4 linked regions of the Caenorhabditis elegans genome follow. The protein of the gene in region 3 interacts with the protein of the main gene of each other region in a pairwise test. Each region holds a gene or a part of one and is shown on either strand. Other genes may lie near its edges. The genes, in order: pros-1, vig-1, hus-1 and hda-3.

Region 1 (6,487 bases), on a different chromosome or scaffold from region 3:
GTTTTACTTGTTATCTTTTTTGTTTTTATTTTCGAACCAAAATTGGAACATCTTACTAAAAAATGGAAACTTTTCCTTTTTTTATCACTCGGCCGCCATTTATGAATTGCACACAAGAGGGGGTATACCTTAACATTATTTAAAGATTATTATTACACGGGCGAGAAATTTTGCGATGTTGTACCAAAAGTACGGTATCCGGTCTCGATACGACAAATGTTTATCAAATGCGAGAAGGTGTGTGGCTTTAAAGAGTACTGTAATTTCAAACATTCATTTCTGCAGAATTTTCTTTCACTTTTATCCTGTTTCTTTCATTTCGCAGCAACGAGATTTTGAAGTTACAGTACTCTTTAAAGGTGCACACCTTTTGGAACTTAATAAAAATATCGTGAGACCGTGTGCCGTGTTATAGGAGCAAAAATAGCAAAACTGACTATTAGCCACACCGATAAGAAGTCTGCATACTGTTTTTTTCCGGGCCAGATGCATGTAGGTTTCTGGTTTTAATTATAGGACCGCAAGTGATATTGAATGTTCCATATTTTCCATACCAATATTACAATAAGAAACATCGAATGAAAATATAGAAATCGGAGGCACAGAAAGTTTTGGGGAAAATGGAAACCATAATAGAATTGGAGGATTATGCCATGTGGCAAAATTGGGAATTTTTGAATGTTCAATTGAAACCAATAACACAAAAAGCGTTTGACAAAGAAAATGAGGAAGACGAGCTCCAGAGAGCTCAAATAAATATTAAATTGCACATTTTGAAATGGGGACTTAGAATGAAAGTTGTCAAGGAATGAGAGTTAAATTGGATGGGGTAATTGATATTCGAATGGGATGAGGGAAAACATGGGCAATAAAGTTTTAAAATCACAATGGAACACATAAACAAGGAAAACTGAAATATTGAGAAACTGATAATGAGAGGGAATATATGGTGATTATGTTTCAAGACGCTCGAGGAAGTTTGGCTCCTTGAAGAAGTCGGGAATCTGATCTTCCAATCGATTGATAACCTGCAAAAAGGGTAAGTTTGATTTTCTATTGGAATATGGCAAAACACAAAAGTTTAGAGCTTTCAAAATATTTGAGCACCAATTGAGAAACTCAAAAATTGCCACTCCTGCCTTGTGCACCTGTTTCATGCCTACATGTGCGCCTACCATTTCATGCAGACCTGCTCGTAGGCAACGCCCATCACATACCTACACGCGTGCCTACTGTCTTATTGTTAGAACTCTGTTATGAAGGCACTCCTACCTACCTTATAGATTGTTTTCTTCCATGATGGTTCAATATCTTTTCCCTGTTTGATTGCATCATGAAACTCACGAAGAGTCTCTTGAACCACAAATACAAGACGATCTGGTGCCTGCAAATTATATAAATTTAGTGTTGCTTACGAAAAGAAACCGTACCTTAATATGATTATTTCTGTTATAATGTGTATTCAAAACTTTGAAAAGTTCACTGTCTTTTGACACAAAAATATCATTTCTATCAGTAATTCCCTCAGCGAGAGCTTGTCTCGCGAACTTCTCCATCTGATTGTAGTAGAACTCTCTGAAAATATTTGAGTTGGTACAGTATAAGAAGAACCTATTTGATTTCGTCTCCCCATTGCCTAACTTCATCTCCTGAATCCAATTCAAATATAAATAATCTTCTCCTTCTTCATTTTCTTTTTTTGCCCACATTTTTATGATGAAGACGTCGACATGATGATGTCTTTTCTTCGCCAACGACGCGTATCACACCTTAAGACCCTTTTCTCATTGTTTGAAACGAAACGAGTTGGACTGAGAGAGACGAGGATTTGTTTGTTTTCTTTTTCACCTCATCACTTTTTCGAATTATGAAGCAGTATTTGTAATGGGAAAGGTCATTATGACTCCAAACAACAAAACAACAGGAGATAACCATGAAGTTAAGAAATCAATGGCGAGTACCAGAGAAGAATTTTCATTATTAAAACCAACCTGAAGTTACTGAACCATTTCACCAATTGTGCAGTGTTATTCTTATTGAATCGGATATCAGGGAAATACGATTTCAGCAGATTTGAATTTGGATATCGTGTGTAGAAAAACATCAGCTTTGCCTTTCTCAAGTGCATTGGTGTTAACATTGAACTTGAGCCACCACCTTCATATCCACATTCACTGAGCTCATCGGAATTTGTTGGTGAGTCCTCTCGATCTCCAAAGTTCATTCCACCGTAGTGTCCAACCATAGTTGGTGCTGGAAAGAATCTGGAGAGTGGTGGGCTGGCAGATGCACTCAATGGTGATGCACGGCTACTCATTGCGTCTTCTTTCTTGATTTCCACCTTTGTTCGCTTCTTTTTCATTTCCGACGAGGTATCTACGTCTTGAAGATTTCTTCGGAGAGCGTTGAATGCGTTAAATGCATTGAAGTTTGGAGGAAAAATTCCACCTCCAGCAACTGGATCTACAAGAGCAAAAAGCAAATATTTTTTCAAAAAATGTTGGGCCGAACCGGGGATTCAACCCGGGACCTCTCGCACCCAAAGCGAGAATCATACCACTAGACCATTCGGCCGACATTTTTCTGGTCAAAGGGCAAATAGAAAAGCTGTGTAAATAACTTACGATGTGGAGGCGCCATGTGGAACAATGGGTTTGCAGGGAAAATTGGATGGAATTGAGGTGGAGGTTGTGGAATCTGAGGAGGAGCAGCAGCTTCTTGCTTTAATACTTCATCGGCAGCCCAATCACGGATCACCTTTTCCAAATCTTTCATGAAATTGGTAACTAAATCTCCTTTAACCGAGGAGACAAGACGTTCGATGTTGATCTTTCCATTGTGCAAAATCTAAACATTTTCAGTTTAGAAAGTTAATGAACATTTTAATTGTATACCTGTGCCGCTGCAACCTGTTTCCGTTGCTGATCTAAAAATGCAGCATAAAATCGTCTCTGCTGCTCAGCGATATGTCCATTTTGAAGCTGAGCTTGAAGAGCCGAGAGTTCTCTACCTTCAGCTTCATCTGTAGTCTCTTCGGCTTCTTCTGTACCTCCAACAGTAACATTAATTTGCTCCGTTTCTGCAAAATTGAATTTATTAAATTTTCTTTTAAGTTAAGACAGTCAAGTTTATGAGTCAAGTTTATGATCAAGTTAATGTTTTCTATTATTTTTGTACTACAAATTTGACAGCTTATATGTATTTCAAAGGTCGTTGATTCTATTCAAAAGTTGTCAACTGACAAAATATTTGTTATGACTATCGTTTTGTAGTGTAATATTTATTGATTTGCTTAAAAGGAAGTGAGAATTTTTTTTTCAAAGTGAAGTAGTAGTTAACTAGCTAACAAACTTACTGACTTACTGAATACCTAACAAGTAAGTAAGTATGCAAGAACAACGGTAATATGATACATCAATTAATAAAACTAACCATCTCCAAATTCAATTCCTAACTCCTCTCCAATTTTCTGTGGTTGAAAGCTTTTCCTTTTTGAAGCAGAGCTACTGTTACTTTCAGGGCTCTCCCGTTCTTCTGATTCTTCAACTTCATCATTTGTATCATCAATAATTTCGAAATCATTCATTCCATCATCATGCTCTTCCATTCCATCTTTACCAGCTTCCGATTCTTCATTTTGAATCACTTTTTCCTATAAGAAAGTATCATAAATAACTAGGCTAATCTTATTATCCCCTCTTCCTCTCTCTTCTCGTACCTGTTCAATTGAAGCTGTCATCGTTTCCGTCTCAGTCATCCCTTCCGTTGACTTCTTTGAAGATGTTGAAGATGAAGAAGGTGTTGAATTTGTATTTGATGTAGACGATGATGAAGAACTATTTGAAGAGACTGATGTAGAGGCTCCCTGGAATAAAATGAAGGAGTAAAAGAGAGAATGAGATGAGCTGATTAGCAACCGCCACGAAATGAATATATTAGTTGATGGGAAAGTAAAGGAACAATGTATATGTCGCCGCCGAAATACAGGAAGACACTTATCTTATGATTATGACACGTAGATTTGCATATTTATTTTTTCGATTTTGTCGGGATTATCAAACGTTTCAGTTAGAAAACTGTGTTTTCCTTGAACTACTTTGCCAAGAAAAACATACCAACTTACAGTACAGTTAAATTTAGTTTTGACCATTTTTGTCAACTTTAAAGTTTCCAACATTTACGTTGCAGTTAACTAAAGCTACTACTAATTAACTGAGTTAACTGAAATCTACTTTGAAAACTTATATGCGTTTGGTTTTGCGTTTGGCATTTTGATTTCGTCAAAAATTCAGAGAGAGATAAGCTTTGAAAGGTGAGAAATGGAGATGCAAGACAAAAGTCCGGAGTATTGTATTGCCGGTTTAAAAATGTTTCTTGCCTACCTGATATGTGTTTCTTGGTTCACCGGCGTCAACTCTCTGTCGATGGCGTTTCACTTTGAATCGGTTACTTGAATTCGGGGTGGATCCGTTAGAGTTAACAGGGGGAAGTTGAGAGTAGTAAATACCGAATGGTGGGAATCCGTTGTTAAAGCTAAAACTTTGTTAGTTTTTTAAAGAGTTCCAGGGTAAAAGTCTGTTACCTGAATCCGTTGGCACTCGGTTGTGCGGTAGCAGCAATCGAAGGCAATCCAGATGACATTGATGACGTCACTAGCTATCTGAATTCTTGACAATTGGAATTGGAATACCTGAAAGAAAATAAAGAATTGAAATTGAATACGAATAAAGAGAAGGCAAGAAAAGCACAGTGGGGAGTCGAAATGTTATTAAATCAGAATATACATACACATATACAAGAGCCAAGGATATACATATTGAAATTGAAGGGGGTGGATTACGGTAACAACTTGAAAGTTTTTGTTATGTCATACTCAAAAATACATCTAATCTTTTCGATCATCATCAACATCATAACGGTCGTAAGTAGGATTATGCAAAAAAGGAAACGGGCGAAGACAAGTGACTTGCCACTTTCTGCCGAATTATTTTATTAGCATAATCTCTGTTTCCATACCGAAACAACTTTCAGATGTTTTACTGGAAGACGTCTACAGTATCTATAGGGTACTTAGGCGTCATGTCGTGTATGAATTCTCTAAATCTTACGGGATCAGAAAAAACTTCAATCAAGATCGCTAAAAGTTATAGAGAGTCTAAGATTTCTCTTAGCACCATTTTTTACAAAAACTCTTCGCTCAAGACCAATGGAGCTTCGGAAAATTTCCAATAAAATTTGAAAATGCTGAGAACCTAAGTGGAAAACTAATTTCCTTTTGCGAAAAGCAAAAAGGAAGAGATTTGTCTGAGTGACTAAAAGGAGCCAAAAGGAGGCACATATGTGTAGCTCACAAGAAACAATTTAGGTAATGGGTCTCTGGAGAAGGTTGAAGAAGATGAAAATGGAGACGATTGGGGACGACTACGGTAGTTTTTGAGAGAAACAGAAAGAAATTTGAGAGGAGCATTCTTTAATTCTCCCATAAATTTCACGTCATTCTTAAGAAGACTAAAGTTTTTGGGAAAGAAAATGTGTGAAGTTTTAATGGGACAAGAGGAGACCTAGGACAGGAGGACATATAGAAGTATACTTCAAAGTTTTCAAATCACCATGACTCCTAAACATTTCTCCTTTTTTAGTTTCTTCTCCCTTGACACTTTCGTTTTAGAATATAAATAAGAAAAAGAAATTGTGTGAAAAGAAGAATATCGGAAGAAACATTAATTTTTCATCGTATAAATTTGAGAGAAGAGAAGAATCTTATGCACTTGGCAGAACAATGGACGAAGATTGAATTCTTAATTTCGTCAACGTCTTCTTTTTTCGAAGAACATTCTAGAAAGATTTTGAGATTTGTACTTATTTTTTTTCTGATTTTTAAAATTTTATATTAAATTCTCGAAAAAATGGCTGAGCTTTTATTTTCCAGTTAAGTTTTTCTAAATTCTTATCTTTGTGTATACTTAGGATCATTGAAGCAATAACGCCTGTACGTACGCAACCTGGTGGGCCGCGTCAGCATAAACTCTAACATTTTCAGTCATTTTTGTACCTACCTACCTGTGCTTTGAAGAGTTTTTGCTAAAAGTCATAACTCGTAGGAAACTAGGTGGTAAACTAGGCGTAGGTCGCATTGAAAGCGAATCTTTTTGGTTTTTTGTAAATATTGATTTTGATCCCTAATTGTGGTTTTTTCCAAACTGTGAAAGCTTTTTCAAACACTAGGGTTCATGAAGTTTTGAGCATCGCAGGCATAGAGGCATTTTCGCAGTCTGCACTGTCAAAAGAATTCCAGATGCACATTGAATTTTCAGAAGAATATATTCAAGTAGTTTTCTTAGAAAATACAGAAATCAAAAGCATATCCTATAAGTTTCTGTAGTGCTGTTAAAGTACTTAAGATCTATGCTATAGAATCTCAGAGCTTCTTAGATGATCTAAGAAGTTATCCCCTTACCATCTAAGACATCATGGTAAGAAAATGGGA
Region 2 (4,447 bases), on a different chromosome or scaffold from region 3:
AGGGGACCTAATTCAATTTCAAATTCGGACGCCGCTGCTGTCATAAAATCGTTACTAAACTTGCGAAATAGCAATTTCCAAAGAGAGAAGAGTCGCAGGAAGATTTAATTAAAAATTAAATTATTTCGAACGCAAGCTCGCTCTATTGAGAATCTGAAGAATTAAAAATTCTAATTTAGGCGGCTAACAGAAGGGAAATCAATAAGAAGTGAAAGGAGAGCAAAAGTTTTTGCCGAGCAATGGGGAGGGGGGGGGGTGCTCCCTCTCTCCCGCTGAAGAAGACGTCGCGGCTCTCTAAAAGAGGCGGCAGAGAATCAGAGCACTCGGCTCGCGGCCTAGAAATGGCATGTGTCAGGCCACGCCCCTGTGGTTGGTTTAGACCGTTTTATTACAAAATACGGATACAGTTGGGTGGGGGGGGGGGGGGGGGGTGTGTGGAGGCAAAAAGAAGAAAAATGGGTGTTTGTGTGTGTGTGTGATATAGAATGATTGGGGTGTTTAACACAAAAATGATGCTTTATCAAATCTTGTTAACAACAAACTCCAATTAAAACGAAACCTGGGCGCAATGGGGTGGTGGTTGGAAGGGGCACAAATTGAGTTTCCTAGTACTAGTTCGTTGATCCTTGACACAATTGAGACCTTTTGTTGTGTCAAATATTTGGTAAAGAAGAGGTCGTCTTGGTGGGTGTATGTGGAAGATCAAGGGATTCAAAGGGCTTAAAAATTAAAGAAAAAACGGGAGATAACAAGCAAACCAAATCGAGGGCAACTCATCAGAAGAGAGATCGATAAGGCAGGTGATAACAACAACAAGCTAAATGGGGGAACTAGAAAAAAAAGAAAAATAAGAAACAGGCATTTTGGAAACGAACAATTTGTGGGGTAGATGGGCACAGGCAAAGATATTGAAAAGAGGAGAATTTTGAAGAAAACAAGATGGAGAGAAGAACAGAGCATTTGAATGAGGGCGGGCGAATTGGTTGGTTGGCTGAAGGTCGTTGAGTGGGGGGGGGGGAATTACTTGGCACCGAGAGCTGGGAAAGCATCGTCAGAAGCGTTGAATGGAGTGTTGTTGCGTCCTCCATGACCTCCTTGACGTTGTCCTCCACGGCCTCCACCGCGTCCACCTCCTCTTGGTCCTCCACGTTGCGGCCTCTCAGAACGGTCGTTGCGCTCGCGTTCTGGACGATCGTTGCGGAAAGTGATCGAAATGTCGAGCACTTGCTTTCTTGGAGCCTTGTGGATTACGACGACCTCGTCTTCCTCACGATCTGGGATGACCTCCTTCTTGATTGGAACGAGCTTGCCAAAAGTATCGGCGGCTCCCTCTCCGGCCTTTCTGGTGTTGAACTTTGGAGCGTCAGCCTGAAACAAAAAAAAAAATAAATTCCAAAACTAATATTTTATACGACTCACCTTAGCCGCAGCCTTGAACTCCTTAAGAGTCTTTTGCTTGGCAAGAACAGCCAACTCAGCCTCGTAGGCGAGCTCCTCAGCGGTCTTCTCACGTGGAACCTCTGGCTCGGTGCTCTCAGCGCCCTCTGGAGCAATGTTCTCGGTTTCTCCAGCCAACTCGTCCTTCTGGTCTCCCCAGTTGCCCTTTCCGTGTCCGTCCTTCTTGTCGAATGAGCGAACTCCGGTACGGTCGGATCCGGATTGACGATCGAATTGACGCCCACGTCCACCACGGCCTCCTCCACGTCCGCCAGATGGTCCACCTCCAAGGGTGAATCCTCCACGACGTCTTGGGGCACGGGTATCTTGTCCGTCTTCGAAAGAGACCTCTTGCTTTGGCTCCTCTCCTTCTCTGTTCTCGCGAGTGAATCCTCCGCGGCCTCCACGTCTAAAATACAAAGTTCAGTAAAATGAAAAAAAAAATTAAAAATTTAAGCGTTTCTTACCCAGCTGGACGAGCAGCACCGCGCTCACCGCCTCTGCGGGGTCCTCCACGACGGTTCTCGCCTTGTGGACGATCACCGTTCTCGTTGGAGACACGTTCTCCGTCACGTGGACGGCCGGCTCCCCCGCGTCCGCGACCACGTCCTCCGCGTCCACGTCCAGCAGCACCGTCGGTTTTGGTGGCGGCTGAAATAATGTTTAATTAATTTAAGAATAGGAATGCCAATTCTTACCAACTGGAGCAGCGGCTGGCTTGACCGGCTGGGCGGGCTTCACAGACTTTTCCTCCTTCTTCTTGGCGGCGATTTGAGACACCTTTTGGATGAGCTCTCTTGGGTCGTCATACTCTGCAAATTATCGATTTTTTATAATGTCTTCTGGGCGGAGTATATCGCATATGAATATTGCGCAATATCCCATCGGGAAGATAAGATAATCATCCGGCGATCATCATCATCAACCACTCACCATCGTCGTCGTCGGATGGAAGACCGAACTTGTTGGTGACCTGGCAACCGTATTCAGTGCTCATTTTTGCTGTTTGTGTTGATTCGATGAAGATAAGATTCCAAGTGCAGGAAGCTTCTGTTCAATTCAATAATTTCAATGCCAAGTTAATCAATAACCCATAATATGGGGATACCTGCAAGAACGTTAGTTTAGATTTCAAATTTTCAAACAAAAATCGATATTTAAGAAAAGAGTATAATTAGCCAGACACCGTTGCGATATTTTAAATCAGTTAAGCACTTTTCACAACTAAAATCAAAAAATAAAAAAAGCAAATTGCATTTTCTTAAGGGAATTTTTGAATGTTCCAGAAAGAAATCGAATCAAAAGTCAGAAAATCAACAATTGCTCAAAATCCACTATTTCGGAATAAAATAAACATTTTTCAGTGCAATTTTGATCAAAAATCGGTGATTTACTGCTAGCAACCCAAAAAATTACAAAAAACCGGCGAAAACGGTCAAAAAAAATCGGAAAAACTGTTCAAATCGGACAGGTGAAGGTTTGGCTGCGTATCACAATAGTGTAAACTGGCGTTTGCGAGCCGCTACGCAGCCAAATGCGACCGCCGAAATGGGCGGCAGTTTGAAATCGAAAACTAGTCCTCGGCCATTTTCAATCAATTTTTGGTTGGGGGAAAACTTGTTTTCCAATTGTTTTTGTTGTCTTAAAGTATTTGAAAAGAAATTTATGACATTTCCAGCCCAAAATGTGTGTAAAAAAAGTAAAAATGCCGGGAAAAAGTATTTATTACAGCGGGGGATAACGAATAATAGTGGAAAAACTCGTTTGGTGGTGAAAAATTGGAAAACTAGAAGTTGAAAGTTTGTTAAAATCACAGATTTCGCGAGAATTATGCTATATTTACACAGAAAAATTAAAACAAAAATCAAATTAAAAAGCTCTTCATCTTCTCTATTTCCGCAGCTCGGGATCACAAAAATATTTACCAGCGAGCACCTTTTTACGAATCATAGACAGGTGATAAATATCCGATTGCACTAGGGAAATGTCCACTCCAGATAGATTGGCTTCCAGGCACTGAAAAAGATAAATTAAGAGCTTAAATTTCAGTTTTTAGTACCTGAAATTGCACGAAGACCTGCGCCGGCTTCCGATCGAGCATTTCCAAGCTTACTTCGTCCTGGAAAATTATATATTTTTTATTTTAAAGCAATTAAAAAGCCCGACCCCAGAATTCTTCATAAATATCCTTGCTTTCAGCGATCCGTGCACATCTCCATTTCTTGAAATTTCCAGCAAATTCCAGCCGAGTGACGGATTTCCAGCCACCCATTTGGCTTCTGGCTCACACATCACAGAATCCACGCTTCCCGTCAAATTTGTGCTGAAATTCACGTTGAGAAGTGGCGCCGAGATGGAAGATTCTGAGTTGAGGCGATAGTCGACACGGAGATCTGAAAAGAAATGCGGATTTTTATTATTAGGCTTTATTTTTGGCGTTTGCATTTAAAAAGTACTACAAAAAACTCAATTTTATTTAGCAGACTCAGCAATTTTGCCAATTTCAATAAAAAATTTGGGTCTGCTACACTACAAACTACAAAATCAAATTTAGCAGACCTATCAATTTTCTGCAGTTTTTAATAAATTTTGGTCTGCTAGACTACAAACTACAAACTCTTAATTAGCAGACCCATCAATTTTCTGCAGTTTTTAATAAATTTTGGTCTGCTACACTACAAACTACAAAATCAAATTTAGCAGACCTATCAATTTTCTGCAGTTTTTAATAAATTTTGGTCTGCTAGACTACAAACTACAAACTCTTAATTAGCAGACCCATCAATTTTCTGCAGTTTTTAATAAATTTTGGTCTGCTAGACTACAAACTACAAAGTCTTATTTAGCAGACCAATCAATTACTGCGCTTTTTAGGAAATTTTGGTCTGCTAGACTACAAACTACAAACTCTTAATTAGCAGACCCATCAATTTTTCGCAATTAATATTAAAAATTCAAATTTTCTCAAAAACACAGAAGATTTCTCGACGAACCAGTGTGTCCAGGTTCG
Region 3 (3,502 bases):
GATGTTTTGTAATCTTTATGGACTGCAAAAAGATTGCAAATTAATCTTAGAATATTACACATTTTTTTGTAATATTTTTAGATTTCAGAAAGATTGCGAACCAATCTCAAAAGATTGCTATGTCATCTCAAAATATTACGAATTTTTCGTAATATTTTCAGATTCAGAAATATTGCGAATCAACCTCAAAATATTGCTCAATCTAAAAAGATTTCGAATAAGTCTCGGAATATTGCGATTTTATCTTGAAATATCACCCAACTACAAAAATATTGCTATTTAATATTTTCATATTAGATTTGAGTTGCCTGAGTTCCAGCAATTTTAGAAAAAAAATTTATTTTTCAACTTCCTCTTGAACTTCGGCTATCAAAATAAAAGTTTTTTCAAGCTTATCTTTTTTTTGGAATTTTATACAGTTTATCAAAAAATAAATGTTTAAAAATTCGCTTGAAAAACTTGATATTCTGATTTTAAACTTAATTTAAATTAAGATGCTTTGAAAATCAAAGCCAATAAGCCAGTTGATAAATGGATATATATTTTAAGAAATAAAAAATTTATTTGCAGAATTTATGAGATCTAGAAAATTAGGCATTCAAACAACGACAAAAAACATTATTTCTAATCCGAAACATTTCCAACAATATACGAAAGAACGCAATCCTCATTGTGAAAATTGAATTCTGCCATTCGATTTGAGATGATATCTGGAAAATTTTTTTTTTGTTAAAAATTATCAAAATATTTCCGATCCTACTCATTTTGGCACGTGTCCGAGTGTTGGCGAAACTTTGAAACAATGGAGAAATATTTCGAATCATTAATTGAACTTTTGCAGTATCCTCTTGACTATCGGTTTCCGATGGATTAGTTTGAAGATCCGAGAAGCTTACATCAATCTCGCCAGTTTCAATTTTCGTAGAAATCCTCAAATCTCCTGATGTACTGGCTGTGAGCTTCTGGATGAAATTAACTTATATTTCAGGACTTTATTTGTGTATATATTATTACCACAACTCGAGTGTTCATATTTTTGAAGACGTGTAAGAAACGGGACATCATTTTAGGAGGTGGCATGCTGATTGACATCTGTAAATATATTTTTTCAATAGAGATTAAAAAAATTAATGTAAAGTTATAATTATCATCATAAAATCGTTTACTTTTCTGTGTCCAATTGACGGCCTGGAGTACGAATTCCAATATTTTGATAGAATAATTGTGATTGGAATTTGATGAGAAACAATATCGGCTTCTGGATTTCTAACTTCGACAGACAACATTGGCTCATCTTTTTGACTTTTCGATAGTTTCAGTTTCAGATAACAGTGTCCGCCGGGCAGAACACGTACTAAACTATCGATTTCCAATTCAAAATAAATCAAATTTTGCTCTTCGTTTCGTGGATTCATGCCAACCATATCGAATTTTCGGAAAATTTGACTGCTATAGGGAATTGATAAACTGAACCAACTTCCACCATCATGGAGTCCTGAACAGCAAATAAAGTTGAGAGCTGAAAGTTCATAGAATTTTATTAATAAAACAGGATTTTTAAAACCATTCTTTTCTATTTTGACGCAGCATCTTTTCTTACTCAATTTGCTCACTGATGTCAAAATTTCTGAAAGACAATTTTTTCAGATATTTCATAGATTTTTTAATAATCAGTCTGCTCACTGATAAACACGTCGATTGCCGCAGTATCTTGGAGAAGAGAACTGAACTTCATTGTTTGAAACCTAGAAAATAGTGAAAATTAGTTAGAAAGAGAAGGAGACGGAGAATGAAAAAGGGAAAATCGCGCGCGATGGAAGAAATTTGAAAAAAGACTTTACTTTTGATATTTTTCGAAATTTTTTAAAATAATTATGTTTAGAGTTAAAATTGCAAGGAAAAATGAAACAAAAATTAGTTTAAAAATAAAAACCACCGTATCTCTTTCCCTGCGAAACCAATTCACCGTATTATTGTATGTGCCTTTAATCTTTAACAGTAAGCATAACATGTGATTTTCGCCTTCTTTTTATTAAAATCTAAATTATTACAGAACTTTTAAATAATTTGATTATATTCTTTGTTTAATTTTTAATCATTTAAATTCAATTTAGAAATGCTAAAAATCCCAAAACAATGAGACACTATTTCCCTGCAGGACCATTTTACAGAAATACTGTATGCACCTTTAATTTCTTTTCAAAAGTAAGCGGCCTTTCTGTCGAATCATTTTTCGTTGATGAACTCTTTTTTCTTCACTTTTACTCTATATTATCACAAAAATTCGAATTTTTCAGCGAAAAAATCGAAAATGAGTGGAGGAAAAGACGAAGCCAGCGACAAAGCGCTCCTAAAAATCCTAAAATCTAAATCACCGAACACAATTGCCATTTTCTCACGAGGCGAATACTTTTCTGTGTATGGCGATGACGCCACCTTTGTCGCTACTAACATTTTCAAGAGTGATGTTTGCGTCAAAACGTTCACTTTATCAAGTAAGACTCGAAAAATCAAAATAAAATCTGTAAATGTGAAATTTCAGCCGACAATTCTCAACAAATGAAGTACATTTCCGTAAATCGTGGACAATACGAGAAGGTCGTTCGTGAAACCATCGTACTGCTCAGATGCTCCGTTGAGCTATACTCGAGTGAACAGGGAGAGTGGAAAATGACGAAGCGTGGATCTCCAGGAAATACTGTGGATTTTGAGCAAGAAATTGGAGTGTCAGATCAGGCTCCGATTCTTGCAATCTATATTCATCCAGGAGATGATGATGTATGACGATTTTTATAGATTTTTAGATTTAGAGATTTATAGATTTTTAGATTTTTAAATTAATTCCCAATTTCAGAATCGAGTAACATTGTGCGCTTGGGATGCTGGAAATGTTCGCATTGTGATCAGTGAATACATCGATACTCCTTCTTTTTCTCAAACGGAACAATGCATTTTTGGACTATGCCCCACAGAATATATTCTAGTGAATGAAGGATCAGTTGCACCGAAGGCTAAGAAAATAGCAAGCATGTTCACGAGAATGGAGGTTCACAACAAGCAACAGCTGAAGCCAAAGTCACAATGGAGCGATGTAATCGAGTCGGTTCATCTGGATTATAAAGATGAAGCCGAAAAACAAAACGAAAACATCAAGGAATGCCTTCAAATTCTACACTCGAACGCAGCCGATGAATACAGTATTTCTGAGAAGTATAGTATTTTCAATTACGGAACTCATGGAAATATGCTGATTGATTCATGTGCTGTGGAGGCTCTGGAGCTTTTCCAATTGAATTATAATTATTTGGGTAGAGTTATAATGTTACATTTTCCTTGAAAATAATTTAATTTCAGAGAAATCGAATAATTTGACGCTCTACAATGTTTTAAACAAATGCAAGACTCTTCCTGGAGAGAAGTTGCTCCGTGATTGGCTTTCTCGTCCACTTTGCCAGATCGATCACATCAACGAGCGACTGGATATTGTTGAAGCTTTGTTCGA
Region 4 (7,468 bases), 8.2 Mb from region 3:
GTTCACATCGGCTAGAGCTCCGATTTTGCCGGTCGTAAACGAGATGTGCTCGTTTTTGTACAGAATTTCCAGCTCCTGGCGTCCAATCTTGTCTGGTTCTGGCCAATTGTCATCGTCCTCCTGCATGATTTCCGAGTCTTCGATGATACGCTTGAGCTCGCTGAGCACCGATTCCGACACTGTCGCCTCTTTGCGGATCATCGTGTCATTCTTGTAGTTGGAGTTGTTCGCGTAGCGAAGCGATCCGTTTGGACGGAATTCGAATTCGAGAAATTCGTGACCGAATTTTCCCTGAAAATTGTTTCGTAAACTAATTTAAATTGGCGAAAATTGTCATTTTTCCAAGATTTTCCAAGACCTACCTTGTGTCCAACGTAGTAACGAACGTAAAAGTCCGCTGCCTTCTCTTCTTCGCCGCTCATTCTGAAAATAAATAGGAATTGAGAAAATCCAAACATCCATTAAATAAAACCGGGTGAAAATTAGAATTTCAAGGTAAAAAAACCTGATTTTTCAGTGAAAATTCACAAAAGAAAGATGATAAATAGGTTTATATTGTGATAAATTCGATAAAAACTGTGTTTTTAGACAAGAAACGATAGAAAATATCCTTTAAAATATAGAGAAAAGAAATCCGATAAAAATTCGAAAACGCCGAAATCTGTGCATTTGTGCGCGGCGGTGTATGCACCACCGGCACCACACTTGACGACGGAAATTTTTTAATTGTCGATTTAACGAAAGATTTAAATAGATTTGAGGATCAATAGAGGTTTAGAGAAGTTGAGATTCGTATAAATTAAAGAAATAGTTTGAAGAGACGATATAAATACAAAGTTAGTGCATACAGAAAATCAAGTTAAAACCAAATTATGCCACATTTTCGCCGCCATCAATCCGATTTTTCTTCATCTCCTCTTGCGCCGCACAAATCGGACTCGCGTGCCGTTTCATCGATTGAATATTCTTCGTCTCCGGCTCTTGACCATCGTAGAATTCCGCCGAATCTTCCACCTGAACGTCTTCCTCGAACTGAGTAACTCTGACGTCATCATTCTGATGATCTCGGATCAGTTTCTCGTCAAAAGTCTTCACAATTGAGTCACAACTCGTCGAAATCGATTGCATTTGGACCGATGGAACGTGTGGAAGTTGCTTTAAATTCTCCAAAAGCGCGACAATCGTTTGATCAATGAATTCAGGAGTGTTGAAGTTCGAAAGAGCGGCGAGCGGCTTTATGTGTAGTTTGTAGTCCGGGATGAAGTAGTCAAAGTAGTCGTGGAGGGGCAGATCTGGAAGAAAAATTGGCATTTTTTAGCGGGAAATTCGAATTTTCAAGATTTTTTGCCGAAAATAAGCCGTTTTTTCGCAAATTTCCGGGGGAAAAATCGAAATTTCCATACCATCTGAAACTTCTTGATTCAAAGCGATCGCCGTCTCGTACAGCCAACATCTGGAGACATTTCGAATCGTATATCCACCACCGCCAACTAACAGAAGCGGCACGTTGAAGCTTTTCATGTATTCCACGCATTTTCCGTGTCCTGAAAAAAAAAATTTTTGCTTATTTCTGAGAAAAAGGCCAATTTTTTGGTTATTTTCTATGAAAAAATCTAATTTTTGGTCATTTTCCGGGAAAAATTGGAGTTTTTTTCCGTGATTTTTCAGATGTTTTTCGTTAAAAATACGTTTTAAAAAATTGTTTTTGTCATAGAAAACTCATTATCTGTTTTTTTTTTTGTGAAAAAGGCAATTTTTAGCATATTTTCCGAGAAAAACTGAATTTTTTCCGTTTTTTCTGATGTTTTTCGTGAAAAAATCCGATTTTTCAGTAATTTTCATCGAAAAAATCCCATTTTTCGGTAGGTTTCCTCTCAATTTTTATTTAAAATTCGTGATTTTGCTATTGTTATTCCGAATTACTTCACCATTCCTATTTAAAGGCGCACAGCCGGGTTCGGATGGGTCTCGCCGCGAAAAGCATTATTTTAACGACTTTTCTTGATTTTTTGAGTGTTAAATCTAGTGAAAATGGCCCAAAATCACAAAATTTCGCCAAAAACTAAGAAATTCCGATATATTCAGTGAGAAAAGCATTTTTTAGCACTTTTTCCGATAAAAATCCCATTTTTAGGTAGGTTTCCTCTCAATTTTTACTTAAAATTCGTGATTTTGCTATTATTATTCCGAATTTCTCCACAATTCCTACTTAAAGGCGCACAGACGAGTTCGGATGGGTCTCGCCGCGAAAATCACCATTTTAACGAATTTTCTTGATTTTTTGTGAAAATTTTAGTTTAAACTAGCGAAAATGATCCAAAATCGAGAATTTTTGCCGAAAACTGAGAAAATCTTCTCCACGAGGAGTACACGAGAGCTTCTTCGTAAATCGACACACACAAACCATAAGTAGTCAAATTGAATACTCCTAGCCGATCTCCTGCCAGTGAATCGGCACCACATTGGAGCACAACTGCTTCTGGTTGAAATCTTGCCATAACTTCTCCCATAATTGTTCTGAAAATCCGTTCATAAGTGACGTCATCGACTCCATCACGAAGTGGAACATTCAGAGCATAGTACTTGCCACTTCCAGCGCCAACGTCTGAAAAAAACTTTTTCATAAATTTTTTGAAATAAATGTAGCTATTTTCGGCAATTTGCCGGTTTGCCGATTTGCAGATATGCCGGAAATGGTAAATTCCGGCAATTTGCCGATCTGCCGGAAATTTTCATTATCGGCAATTTGACGATTTGCCGGAAATTTAAATTCCGAAAATTTGCCGTGTTTCCGGCAAATTCCAATTCCTGCCATTCGCACATTTGCCGGAAATTTCAAATTCCGGCAATTTGCCGTTTTTCCGGGAAACTCGGCTAATCGACATTTTGCCGGATAATTTCAATTCCGGCAATTTTCCAAATTTGTCGGAAATTTTCATTACCGACAAATGGTCGATTTTCCAGCAAATTTCAATTCCGACAATTTGCCAGAAATTGTCAATTCCGGCAACTTGACGATTTGCCGGAAATTAAAAACTCCGGCAATATGCCGATTTGCCGGAAATGCTAAATTCCGGCAATTTGCCGTTTTTCCAGAAAATTTAATTTCCGGCAAATTGCCAAAAATTTAAATTCCGGCAGTTTGCCGGAAAATTGTCGATTTTCCGGCAAATTTGGCAAATCGGCAATTTCCCGGAAAATTTCAATTCCTGCAATTTGCCAAAAACTTAAATTCCGGCAACTCGCCGGAAATTTTCTATTCAGACAATTTGCCGATTTCCGGCAAAAATTTGCCAGTTTGCCAATTTGCCGGAAAATTAAAATTAGCTGAAATTAAATTCGCCAAAAAATCTTATTTTATAGTTAATTTTCTGAATTTTTTTTTAATTTTAAAAATTTTTGAAAAATTTATTTTTCGATTTTCCCTCAAAAGCATCGAAAAAACGACATTTTTTCCAAAAAAAAAATCGAATTTTCAGCTAATATTAATTTGCCGATTTCCGGCAAATTTTTTTCAGGCAATTTGCAGATTTGTCGGAAATTTAAAATTTAAATTTAAAAAATCGAAGAGATCTCTCTTCCCGTACCCTTTAAATCTCCAGTTCCAGGGAAATATTCTCCATGTTTATGAAATGAAACAGTCATAACTCTATCTGTCGTATAAAATGCTTCCTCAACTCCATCACCATGATGAACATCAATATCAATATAAAGAACTCTTTTATGATGCTTCAAAAGCTCCAAAATCGCCAGAACAATATCATTCGAGTAACAGAATCCAGAAGCTTCCGATTTCTTCGCATGATGTAGACCACCCATCCAGTTAATTGCAATTTCTGATTCTTGACGATTAAGCCGGGCGGCAGCAGCCAGTGATCCACCACATGATAGCTGGCAGAACTCATACATTCCATCAAAGACAGGACAATCCTCTCCAACTGAGAATCGGGCCATTTGATCTGTGAATGTGGACATATTATCGGATTTAACGTTACGAAGGAAATTGATATAGTCGTCAGAGTGATAACGTGTGATTTCGGAGAATGAAGCACGGGCGGGACGCTGCAAAAAAAATATGGGAAATTTTGAGGAGGTTTTTTGGATTTAAAATGGACAAAAATTTACGAAATTTAGATGAAAATTTCAAAAAAAAATGCAAAATTTCAGAAAAAATTGCAAAATTTAGCTGAAAATTTCAAAAAATTTGTAAAATTTTACTTAAAATTTCAGAAAAAATGCAAAATTTAAACGAAATTTTCAAAAAAAAAATGCAAAATTTTAGAAAAATTGTAAAATTTTAACGAAATTTTCAAGAAAAATTGCTAAATTTCAGAAAAAATGCAAAATTTTAAAATTTAGCCAAAAATTTTAGAAAAATGCAAAATTTCAGAAAAAATGCAAAAATTCAGAAAAAATGCAAAATTTTAGAAAAATTGTAAAATTTTACCGAAAATTTCAAGAAAAATTGCAAAATTTCAGAAAAAATGCAAATTTTCAAAAAAAAAAGCAAAAATTCTGAAAAATGCAAAATTTTAGAAAAATTGTAAAATTTTACCGAAAATTTCAGAAAAAATGCAAAATTTTAACGAAATTTTCAAGAAAAATTGCAAAATTTCAGAAAAAATGCAAATTTTCAAAAAAAAGCAAAAATTCTGAAAATGCAAAATTTCAGAAAAGGTGCAAATTTTCAAAAAAAAAAAAAAGCAAAATTTCTGAAAAATTGCAAAATTTACCTGAAATCTCGAATTCCGCCACACAAAGCAACTGATTTTCAGAAGAATTTTTAAAAAATTCAACAAAATTAGATAGTTTCTCAAAAAATATTGCGAAAATCGAAATTTTAGCACTTTTTTCAAATTTTCTACAAGTTTCCTGGAAAAAAAAGTGTATTTTACTGCGGATTTTTAAAATTAAATTCATTTTTTTCCTCCCTTGCGATTTTCGTCAAACAACGGGTCTCGACACGACAATTTTTGTGAAGCGGCACAAACGGGTGCTGCGCCTTTAAGGATTACTGTAATTTCGGAATTTTCATCGATTTTTCAGAGTTTAGTAAATCTAATTTTAAAGGCACATTTACTTTTGAAAAATCGATAAAAATTCCAAAATTACGGTAATCGTTAAAGCCGCATACCCGTTTGTGCTGCTTCAAAAAATTGTCGTGTCGAGACCCGAAAACAGCAAATTAAGAAAAAAATATTTTTTTTTGAAATTTCGAAATTTTTCTGAAATTTTCATCTAAATTTTTCAATTTTTTCTGCAGTTTTTCCAGCTATCCACCAAATTTCGAGGTCCATACCATGACATTAAGCTTCCGATATAATCCATAATTAACAATAAGGCTATGTGTCATTCGAACACGATGCGGTTTCATTGGATGTCCTTGTCCATAGTAGAAATTTCCAAAATCTCCATCATAATAGTAGGAAACTCGAGATTTCGAGTGTTGGAGGCTCATCTGGAAGCTTAAAAAATTGGAAAAAAAAAGCCTGGAAAATATATATTTTAAAAGTATATAAAAACCGATTTTTAACGGATTTTTTCGGGGAAAATGGAATGGGGAAATATTTAAGGACAACAAGCATTCATATATAAATATATAATTTAGAAATTTAAATTAGAGTCAAAAAATAAATTAATTTTTGCAAAGGGTTTCTGTGGGTGAAAGCTCAAAAAATCAATAAAACGGGGTGGTGGTCTGAAATAGAGAGAATCATCGAAAAATATACATTTAAATTGAAAATAAATTCGGAAAAATTTTGAAGAATTTCCTATGCATTTCTGTTCACCAGCTTCGTCACAAATCCATCTAGAACCGGTCGCAGTGGGTTGATGACGTCAGGAATCTCGGATATGCTCTTTTTTATCTGAAAATTTGGAGCTTTTTTGGATTTTTGGGGTTTTTTTTTCACCGGAAACTACCTTTTTTAAAAGAAATATTAAAAATTGAAAAAAAATTTTTTCAATTTTTTCTGAGTTTCTGGTCATTTCCTTCTATTTATTGAATAAATTTTATTTTTAAAAAACATTTTTACAAATTTTCGGCTTCTAGTGATTTTTTCTATGAAAATATGTTTTTTTCGTTTATTTTTAACGGAAAAATCTGTTAGTTTTTTCTTCAAAAAACATGCTTCTTTATGTTTTTTTTGTGAATTTTCTTGGTTTTTTCTTTATTTTTTGAATAAAATTTTTTTTAACTTAAAAAAAAATTTTAATCACTATATATTTGGTGAATATATACAGTTTTCCGGATTTTTTCCGTAAATTTTTTGTACGATTTTTAAAAATTAAAAAATTGAATTTTTCGGTTTTGTGATTTAATTTCGCGAAAAAAAAATGTTTTTTGCGTTTTTTTTTCAGAGAAAATCGATTTTTAATACGATTTTTGTTTGTAGTTTTTTCAAAGAAAATCAGATTTTTCAATTTTTTAAAAGTAAATTCATTCATTTAATAATTTTTTTCTGCAAAAGCCTTGGAAAAAGCCGATTTTCAGCAATTTTTCACTGGAAAAATCGGCAAAAATCTGCATTTTTTCACTTGAAAAACCTGAAAGAGCTGAAAAATAAACAAAAATTCTAGATTTTTTCTTCTAAAAACTCACAGAGCTGTTTTTTGTCAAATTTTCGGCTTCTGGTGATTTTTTTTTTAATTTTTTTGTTGTGAATTTTTGGAAAAAAAAACAATTTTCTTCGATTTTCAGCGATTTTTCTCTGGAAAAATCGGCAAAATCCACTTTTTTTTTCTTCTAAAAATTCACAAAAATCTAGAGAAAATAAACAAAAATTCTCGATTTTTTTTTCAAATTTTCGGCTTCTTTCGTAGTTTTTGTGAATCTTCTGGTTTTTTCTTTTTTTGAAATTTTTTTTGGCGAGGTTTTGATAATTTCTGGTTAAAAATTTTTTTCCCTAATATCTACACCGAAAAATCATGTTTTTTTGTAGTTTTTTCGAAGAAAATCAGATTTTTCATTGACAAAATTTTTTTTCTGCAAAAATTCTGAAAAATAGTGCAATTTTCTTCGATTTCCCATGATTTTTCTCTGGAAAATTCGGCAAAAATCACAACTTTAGGTGGTTTTTTTTTTGTGAATTATCTGGTTTTTCCTTTTTTCTTAATTTTTTTTTAAATTTAGGCGGTTTTTTAAGATAACTTCTATTTTTTTAAGCTTCGAAAAATTAAATTAACCGATTTTTCTAAAAAATTATTGAAAAATTGTACAATTTTCCTCGATTTTCAGTGATTTTTCCCTAGAAAATTCGACAAAAAATCTCATTTTTCTTTCCTTCTAAAAAAACTGCAAAAATCTGAAAAATAAACGAAAATTGTTGATTTTTTCTAAAAAATTCACTGAGCTAGCTTTTTGTAGCTATTTGTGATTTTCTTTCGCGAAAAAATGTGTTTTTGCGTTATTTTCAGTGAAAAATCGATTTTTTTTAAACGAATTTTAATTTTACAGAAATTTTGTTTG

What was found.
Region 1: the proteins of hus-1 (region 3) and pros-1 interact in a two-hybrid assay, tested with the Caenorhabditis elegans proteins (3 studies listed by BioGRID).
Region 2: the proteins of hus-1 (region 3) and vig-1 interact in a two-hybrid assay, tested with the Caenorhabditis elegans proteins (3 studies listed by BioGRID).
Region 4: the proteins of hus-1 (region 3) and hda-3 interact in a two-hybrid assay, tested with the Caenorhabditis elegans proteins (2 studies listed by BioGRID).

Annotation. Positions count from the first base shown.
Region 1 is NC_003281.10:8,065,492-8,071,978, reverse strand, and holds pros-1 (Homeobox protein prospero homolog 1), read right to left. Parts: upstream 4,691-6,487; 5' UTR 4,642-4,690; coding exon 4,583-4,641; intron 4,534-4,582; coding exon 4,383-4,533; intron 3,866-4,382; coding exon 3,719-3,865; intron 3,653-3,718; coding exon 3,433-3,652; intron 3,080-3,432; coding exon 2,895-3,079; intron 2,848-2,894; coding exon 2,625-2,847; exon of another isoform or gene 2,494-2,624; intron 2,464-2,493; coding exon 1,992-2,463; intron 1,576-1,991; coding exon 1,431-1,575; intron 1,385-1,430; coding exon 1,277-1,384; intron 1,029-1,276; coding exon 954-1,028; 3' UTR 516-953; downstream 1-515. UniProt on the Caenorhabditis elegans protein: Transcription factor involved in developmental processes. Controls the transcription of genes required for excretory canal formation.
Region 2 is NC_003280.10:1,319,135-1,323,581, reverse strand, and holds vig-1 (Hyaluronan/mRNA-binding protein domain-containing protein), read right to left. Parts: upstream 2,546-4,447; 5' UTR 2,435-2,545; coding exon 2,371-2,434; intron 2,250-2,370; coding exon 2,136-2,249; intron 2,089-2,135; coding exon 1,905-2,088; intron 1,847-1,904; coding exon 1,420-1,846; intron 1,369-1,419; coding exon 1,021-1,368; 3' UTR 509-1,020; downstream 1-508. Other genes in the region: fcho-1 (FCH domain only protein 2), read right to left, coding at 3,328-3,453, 3,497-3,556, 3,604-3,830, 4,431-4,447.
Region 3 is NC_003279.8:3,696,345-3,699,846, reverse strand, and holds hus-1 (Checkpoint protein), read right to left. Parts: upstream 1,746-3,502; 5' UTR 1,736-1,745; coding exon 1,684-1,735; intron 1,628-1,683; coding exon 1,565-1,627; intron 1,520-1,564; coding exon 1,167-1,519; intron 1,093-1,166; coding exon 1,015-1,092; intron 963-1,014; coding exon 761-962; intron 711-760; coding exon 625-710; 3' UTR 547-624; downstream 1-546. Other genes in the region: msh-2 (DNA mismatch repair proteins mutS family domain-containing protein), read left to right, coding at 2,312-2,495, 2,543-2,778, 2,855-3,308, 3,355-3,502.
Region 4 is NC_003279.8:11,912,255-11,919,722, forward strand, and holds hda-3 (Histone deacetylase), read right to left. Parts: upstream 5,466-7,468; 5' UTR 5,459-5,465; coding exon 5,300-5,458; intron 4,063-5,299; coding exon 3,588-4,062; intron 2,606-3,587; coding exon 2,405-2,605; intron 1,545-2,404; coding exon 1,404-1,544; intron 1,293-1,403; coding exon 871-1,292; 3' UTR 537-870; downstream 1-536. Other genes in the region: mag-1 (Protein mago nashi homolog), read right to left, coding at 1-291, 363-422; fdps-1 (Farnesyl pyrophosphate synthase), read right to left, coding at 5,772-5,867.